Linked DNA regions of Ovis aries. The protein of the gene in region 1 binds, or shares a complex with, the protein of each later gene. Links are inferred from orthologs where the notes say so. Each region holds a gene or a part of one and is shown on either strand. Other genes may lie near its edges.

What was found. The genes of interacting proteins can lie anywhere in the genome.
Region 2: STX5 (region 1) and STX4 share a complex: the UniProt entries of both Homo sapiens proteins name them as parts of the SNARE complex. The link is inferred for Ovis aries from reciprocal best matches to the Homo sapiens genes STX5 and STX4.

Annotation. Positions count from the first base shown.
Region 1 is NC_056074.1:37,649,238-37,652,985, reverse strand, and holds the end of STX5 (syntaxin-5), read left to right. Parts: intron 1-2,494; coding exon 2,495-2,654; 3' UTR 2,655-3,240; downstream 3,241-3,748. UniProt on the Homo sapiens protein: Mediates endoplasmic reticulum to Golgi transport.
Region 2 is NC_056077.1:27,673,403-27,677,469, reverse strand, and holds the start of STX4 (syntaxin-4), read right to left. Parts: upstream 2,803-4,067; 5' UTR 2,518-2,802; coding exon 2,488-2,517; intron 2,301-2,487; coding exon 2,199-2,300; intron 2,086-2,198; coding exon 1,986-2,085; intron 1,851-1,985; coding exon 1,776-1,850; intron 1,274-1,775; exon of another isoform or gene 1,049-1,273; coding exon 978-1,048; exon of another isoform or gene 1-977. UniProt on the Homo sapiens protein: Plasma membrane t-SNARE that mediates docking of transport vesicles. Necessary for the translocation of SLC2A4 from intracellular vesicles to the plasma membrane.

The DNA.
Region 1 (3,748 bases):
TGGTCCAGTGGCTAAGACTCTGCACTCCCAGTGCAGGGGGCCTGGGTTCAATCCCTCGTCAGGGAACTAGATCCCACACGCTGCAACTAAGAGATCTTGCGTGCCGAAACTAAGACCTGGTGCAGCCAAATAAATATTTTAAAACAAATAAAGAACAATAAATAAACAAGGCTGTGTGCATGTAAAAAAAAAAAAGTAGGTGCAAACATCATGACAGTTTTTTCAAACATCGTGTGTTATCCCCAGATACTTCAGCAAGCATCTGCCAAGAATAAGTATTTCTCCTGAACAGCCACAATATCATGAAGTGAAAGTGAAGTCACTCAGTCCTGTCCGACTCTTTGCGAGCCCGTGGACTGTAGCCCACCAGGTTCCTCTGTCCATGGGATTCTCCAGGCAAGAACACTAAAGTGGGTTGCCATTTCCTTCTCCAGGGGATCTTCCCAACTGAGAGATCGAACCTGGGTCTCCTGCATTGCAGGCAGATGCTTTACCCTCTGAGCCACCATCAAACCTAAGAAATTGAACACTTCTCCAACACAACCCAATAATCAATCCATACTCAGATTTCCCCAACTCTTCGAAAAAAATTTAGCCTTTTCCTTTCAATTTAAGATTTAGACAACATTCATACATTGAATTGTTGTGTCTCTTTAGTCTGCCTTTTTGAGTGTGTGTGATAATTTACTTTGTTTTTAAGAGACCAGTACCTCTTATACAAAGTCATAGACATGTTTTTGTCCGATGTTTGTCCCTCTGATTAAATTAAGTTCAGTAGTTTCAGCCATCCCTGTAGGCAGTCATATCAGTAGACACTTGATGAGGTTCTCTTTATTGGTGATACCCTGTTTGGTCTCTTGTTCAAGGTGGTGACACTCAGACTTAAGTCATCAGTGGAGTGACACTTTGAGTCCTCTGTGCACTGTTTGTCCCTATGATTAAGTTCAGTACTTTCGGCCGGCTGTGTAGGTGATCACATCAGGAAGCACTTGATGAGGTTACCTCTTTATCGGCCTGCTGGTGATCCTTGTCTGATTTGTTTGAGAGTGTGTGTGGCAAAATGGTCATTTTCTAATTTGCTCATTTCTTCTACGTTAATTAGCTTATATTCTTCCATAAAGAAGGAACTTCCTCTCTTTAAAATTACTATTGAGTGATAGTAACTTCTTCCCTTGCACTAGTTTTCATTCACAGACTCCCATTTAAAATCTTTTATATGCCAGATTGCATTCATCATTCTTCCATTTTTGTTAAGTGAAGCCATTATAATTGCCAATATGATTGAGCTTTATTGGGTATGAGATGACAAGTGCATCCACACTGAGAAATGTAATTATACCAAAAACTAGGGAACCTAATACTTTAGCCTCTCTGACATAAATAGGGAGTCATGTAGAATCCAGGCTTCTGCATTTGGACAGAGATTAGGTTGTCATTCTCCTGACCACCTTACCAGGAACTTGGGCTTGCAGCCAGTGGCCCAGCCTTTCCTCTCACTTTCTTCCTTGATTATCAGGCTCCACCAACTTTTCTGACCTCACAGCTCCTAAAGGTCCCTGCTTCCAGTGACTCCCTTTGCAAAGACCAGGGTTTATATTTGGTTTTTAGGATTGTATATGCAGATTAGCTGGGAAATGTTTGATTTTCCTCAGCAATGTCTCAAGTGATTGCCATTCTTCTGAGGGCTTCTCTATATCCTAAGAGACATGTTCTAATATAGGGCTTTTCTCATCCCTTGATGTTCTGTCCATATCATCAGGTTCTTCCTTTCTCACTTAGAATAAGGGTTTCCTGACCATGATTTTCTGTAACCTTTCCCCCCTTATTACAAATCAGTACTGTTTATTAGAGGCTTCCCAGGTGGCCCTAGTGGCCTGCCCATGCAGGAGACGCAAGAGACACAGGTTCAAGCCCTGGTTGGGGAGATCCCGTGGAGAGGGAAATGGCAACCAGCTCCAGTATTGCTACCTGGAAAATCCCCTGGACAGAGGAGACTGGCTGGCTTCAGTCCATGAGGTTGCAAAGAGTTGGACACAACTGACCACATATTGTTACTTAGACAAAAATTAGTAAATACCGATGAGCAAAAAGTTATGTAGACATTTTGGATTCTCTTAGTATGGGTTGGGCACTTTTATATAACTCGCTTAGGCCTGACAAGGAACCTAGGATTTATATTATCTCGTTTTTTCTTCCTTTGCAGTTGAGGGAAATGAGACTTGAGGTTAAATGAGTGGCTTAGGTTCATTAGCTAATAAGTTGCAGAGCCAAGAATTGTTATATTACCCTTCCAGAGCTTTTTCCTCTATGTGTTCATGCTGAATTACTTCAGTTGTGTCTGACTCTGTGGGACCCATGGACTATAGCCCGCCAGGCTCCTCTATCCAGGGGATTTTTTAGGCAAGAATATATACATACATAAAAAATAAAATTCAACAGCAGTCTTTTTAATCCAACATTCTTCTCTTTCCCCTCCTCCCGAACCTATCCTCAGGATCGACGAGAATGTGTTGGGAGCCCAGCTGGACGTGGAGGCCGCCCACTCAGAGATCCTCAAGTACTTCCAGTCGGTCACGTCCAACCGGTGGCTCATGGTCAAAATCTTCCTCATCCTCATTGTCTTCTTCATCATCTTCGTGGTCTTCCTTGCCTGAACCCTCTCCACTCTGAGGCACTCCATGGGGGTTTGGAACCCTTCTGGGAGGGCAGGTGGCCAGAGCTGCCACTGAGCCTGTGCAGGGTGCTTGGGAGAAGGGCCCTGTTTCCTTGGAACTGCTAAGAATGACCACTGCCCTCGGTCCCCCACTCCTTGCCTCTGGCCACCCAGCCCTCCCCTCACCACCCTCCAGCCCATGAAACACACACGGTTCTGGATTTGGACTCTGCTGTGAAGTGGCTGGAAAGGAGCAGAGGCCAACTGAGGGGCTCGTCCGGGAGATTGTCTCCACCAGGAGATTTTTATAAACCCTCCCCAGCCTGTCGCAAAGGGAACTTTGGCAGCAAGGGGAGATGATGCCTTTCCCCACCTTCCTGAGAGCAAGGAGAGGAAGTGAAACTGCCCCAGGGACCAACTTTCCCATCTGGGTTAGAATTTGACTTCTTCCTCTCCACGACATGAGGCAGGGGGCCCTGAGCCCCTCGGCGGCCTGCACAACCCCAACTTTGGCTGCAGGTGACTCTCAATCTGCCAAACGTGCTGCAGCCCGTTTTCTCCCAATTACAGCAAGACTGTCAGCCTCACTAGCCATGTCGTCATTTCTGGGTGGGAGCGCCGAAGAAGGGCCTAGGCAGAAATGGAGGGAGCCTGCTGCCCAGTATTACAACTGAAAGGGCTGGACTGATGACCCTGAGGGGCCAGGCTTTGGGCTCTGTATACACAGCTGCTTCCAGCAGGCCTAACCCAGTGCAGCAGTACTTAATTATCATGGAAAATTCCCTTCAAAGCAGGGTATACGATCCCAGAGTGGGTCTCTGATTAGTGGTAACTTCTAGGACCATCTCCAGAAGTATTTGGACCTGTTTCATCTGCATCTTCCAGTCCTACCGTTTTCCTTGGGCTGGATGAAGCAGGAGTTCTGCCTGCTGCCAGGAGTGAAAGGTGAAGAATTTGTTCCCAGCTCCAGCTGAGGCTCTTGGTCCCCTCTTGAAGCCCCTCACCAAATCCAAACCAGTCACAGGAGAATGAAGTAGAGATCTGCCTGGAATACCTACCCTACCCTGGAAGGTCAATATGCTTGTCAGTCCTGAC
Region 2 (4,067 bases), on another chromosome or scaffold:
ACTAAAGGTGTGCCAGGATTTTGCATTTCCCAGATTTTGCAGGCCCACCTGGGCACTCAGCCTCTCACACAATGACTACCACAAGCCCCCCACCCCCTGTAAATGCCTTCCCTGCTTGTCCATTTTCCTGATGCCTAAAATCTGCTCATTCCTTGGAGTTCCTTTCTCCAGGACACATCTGCTGTCCTGGGTTCAGTTGCACCCTTTCAAGATGCCCAAATTGTGGGGGGGCAGTTCTTGAGGCACTAGCCTACTGTGTTCCCCCCTTTGTTTGGCAAAGTAATAAAACTACTCTTTCCTTCTCTTCCATTAAAAAAAAAATCCCCAAATTGTTTAATCTTCAATCTGGGGTCTTTGCTGATTTCTGGGCCCACCTACTCCAACTCTGACCTCCAAGAACTCCAAACCATGCCTCTCTGGGCACCCAGAGGACACTGCTCAGACCATTTCAAATCTCCTTATTAAGATGATGATTCAGTGACCTTCCCCATACACACACACCAGGGAAGTTCCTCTTCCTGACTTGAATTCTGTCCTTGGGGCAGAGGATGTCCTCATCACATGGGTAGGAAACCACCCAGTCACTTGACTGCACCCTTTTTTTCCCTGGGCAGAGCCATTAACTACCAAGTCCTACCTGAGTAATGTCTTTGTCATCTATGCAAGCTTAACTCCCCATCTTGGCTTCTAGAAAGTATATCTCCTACAACCAAGCCCAGATCATGTCTGGGGTCTCAGCAACTTCTCACTGAATGGAGGAGAAGAAGGCAAGGTGTTATAACAGATTGGAAGTCAGGAAACCCGGGTTCTTGACCTTGGGGTAAATCCTTTTTTATCTCTGAGCCTCAGTTTCCTCATTTGGAAAATCATCAGGTTGGATTTAATGATCTCTAAGAGCCCTGCCTTCTTACATCTGCCATCTAATGATCTATTGAACACTTGCTGAAATGTCCTACTTCTGGGAATAATGAACCCACCTGGGTTTTTCTCATTCTTGTGTTGACGGAGTTATAATTCTCATCAGCTTCCTCCTTCTGGGGCTCTATGGCTGTGGAAAGACACAGAAGTATTGGTAGAGGAGGGGGTTTGACCTCTGGCTTCTGAAATTCATTTGGGGACTGGGACCCAGCCATGCAGCCATACAATAGAGAGAGATACAATATCTCCACAGAGCTTTTTTTTTGAAATAAAATTCATCATAAATGACTACTCTTGAGCCTCTGACAGGCAAAAGTATATTTTTCTTTGCAATAAATACATCAGAGAATTCCCACATGTTTGGAGAAGCTTCCTAACAAAACCCACATCTTCCCACCCAAAGAATACACACTGGGCAGCAAGAATTGTAGGAGTACAGATGATCCTTGCACAACTGTGGGTCCACTTATACCTGAATTTTTAGAAAATAAATGCATACTACAGTACTACACAATCCATGACTGCATGAATCCACCCTTGCAGAACCTGGGATGTGGACGGCAGACTATACAGTTATATGCAGATAACGACCTGAAGGTGGAGGTAGCAACGCTAACCTCTGCCTTGGACAAAGATCAAATGGACATGGTTTCATTATAAATAAGGGAACTTGAGAGGCAGGCATATGCTGTGGAAAGAACTTTGGACCGAAAGCCAGGAGATGGAGATTCTAGACGTTGGCCTGCTGTGTGACCTGGATATATATCACTGGCCTCTCTGGACCACACACTGCCCAGAAATACCAGGAGTTGGGCAGGATCAGAGGAAAGTATCTGGCTAAAGTCCTAGGAGCTCACCCTTCAGCTGCGCGCGGATGTCCCTCCCTAGCTGTTTGATCTCGTCACGCAGGTTCTGCAGGTCCTGCTTCATGCCTAAACAAGAGAAAGCCATGATGCCCAAATAGCAACCTCTACCTCAACAAATCTCCCTGGCCACCACCTGTGTGGAACTACAACCCCCACAAGCCTCCAGCTGAGCATGCGTTCTGCACCCGGGGTTTCACTCACTCTCCTCGGGAAGGGGCGTGGCCAGGATGGTGACCTGCTGCTTCTCCAACTCTCGGACTTTATTCTCTAGCTTGACGATAGTCTGCCGAATTGTCCGAACCTGGGGACGATGACCGAGAGGGCTGAGGGAGATGTGGGCGCTGCTCCAGGCTGCTCTGCTCCTCGGGCCCTCCAGGCCCCTCGTGAATCCAGGCCGAGACTCCAGCCTCTTACCTTCTGGAAGAACTCATCGTCCGGGCTCCCCAGCCGTGCAGTACCCGGGTGTACCACCAGCGCGACTCGCTCCTTGTCTTCATCGTCCGAGCTGTCATCCCCCTGCCAGGGCCGGGGTCACTGGCATCACTTCCTTGCTACTGCTCTCCCCCAGTAGAACTCACGGGCTTCCGGGACTTTCCTTCCTAGCCCACAGTCATCCCTCCCGGCCCCGAGGACCAGGAGTCCTGCATTCCAGTAGACCCCATCCCGTCCACCCGTCCCCAACCCTGCTGCGCCAAATTCTCACCTGCCTCAGCTCGTGGGTCCTGTCCCGCATGGCGGCCCGAGATCCCTCTCGCCGGCGCCGGAGCCCGGCGGGCCTCAAGATTCTAAGTTTGGAACTCCCGTACCCAACTCACACTCTGACACTCCCCTCCGCCCTCACCCTGCAGGCCCCAAACCCTCCCCCAAGAGTCGCTAGAGGCTCTGTCCCTGGCACCATTCACAGTTTCAAAGGGAAGGAGCCGACCTCGGGGACCCCCAAGATTCCACAGGTTGGAATTCCCTTTTCTTTCCCCCCGCCCTCTCCTGTAGCCTCAGCCCCGCCCCCTCTGGAAAGACTGGAGCATGCGCACCGGATCGCGTCCCTTCCCCACCCCAGGGAAAGGCCGAGGTCGGAAGCTTCAGCGCCCCGAACGGAAGCGAAATTGCCAGGACGTGAGAACCCGCCCCCTTTGCCGGAACTATCGCATCTTCCAGCGGAAATCTAGTTGCCAAAAGGGGTGGGAATGCGTCATTGGTACGTGATCTGTGAGGCCCTCTCAATTCGCATCACCCCATAGTGCAAACCCCCCCGCGCGCGTCATGTGACCGGCCTGGTCCCAACCTCTCAGACCACGGAACGTGACGCTTCGACTGTCACATGTCTCTGCCCTGTCAACTCCATCTCTGGAACACCCATCTCCCCACGACGTCCTCGGCACCCCGCGCGCGAGTTACCTCTCTTCAGAACCCCCGCGAGGCGGGGAGGGGGCGCTGACTACCCCCAGAGACAGTGGGTGGTAGGACCCAGGCTGAATCCGGCTTCCTTTCTTTTGGGTCCGCGAGTGTGGGCAGACTGAGGACTTAGAATTTGGAGCTGTCAACATCATGAGACCTTGAAATTCAGAAAAGAATAAAATACAGCGTCAGAGACTTGCGAGATTTTGTAGGCAGAGCATCTGGGGGTGGGAAGTGACCTCACCCGAGGCGGAACTCTCTTCTCCCGCATACTCCTGGCACAGTTTCTGACAGGTGGGCGGCTGGCTGGCGCCCGGCTTGAACACTGCAGTCCCGCTGCACTCACCACCTTTGAGCAGGGCATTTCAGGGCAGCTCGGGCTTAGAAAAAAGTCTGTTACATTGAGCAGCATGTCACTTAGACAACCCCCTCCCCAGACCCCCACCTTGCACTGGGGGTCTACCCTCTGGAACCCACAAAAATATTACATATTATCGTGGCCTGTGAGTTACTAAAGTGAGGGCATGATTGTGGACAGAGGAGCCTGGAGGGTTACAGTCCATGGGGTCACAAAAGAGTCGGACACGACTAAGTGACTAACACACACAAATTGTAGCCCACCAGGCTCCTCTGCCCATACAATTTTCCAGGCAAGAATACCAGAGCGGGTTGCCATTTCCTCCTCCAGGGGATCTTCCCAACCCAAGGATCGAACCAGCATCTCTTGTGTCTTCTTCACTGGCAGACAGATTCTTTACCACTGAACCAACTAGGAACCCCAGCACATGTTAGGCCCTCAGTAAATATTTGTTGATAGAGTCTTAGCCTCTTATATAACTGAAGATGAAGCTTATGATTCCCTGGTCTTCTCTTTTATGCTTCAGGCTT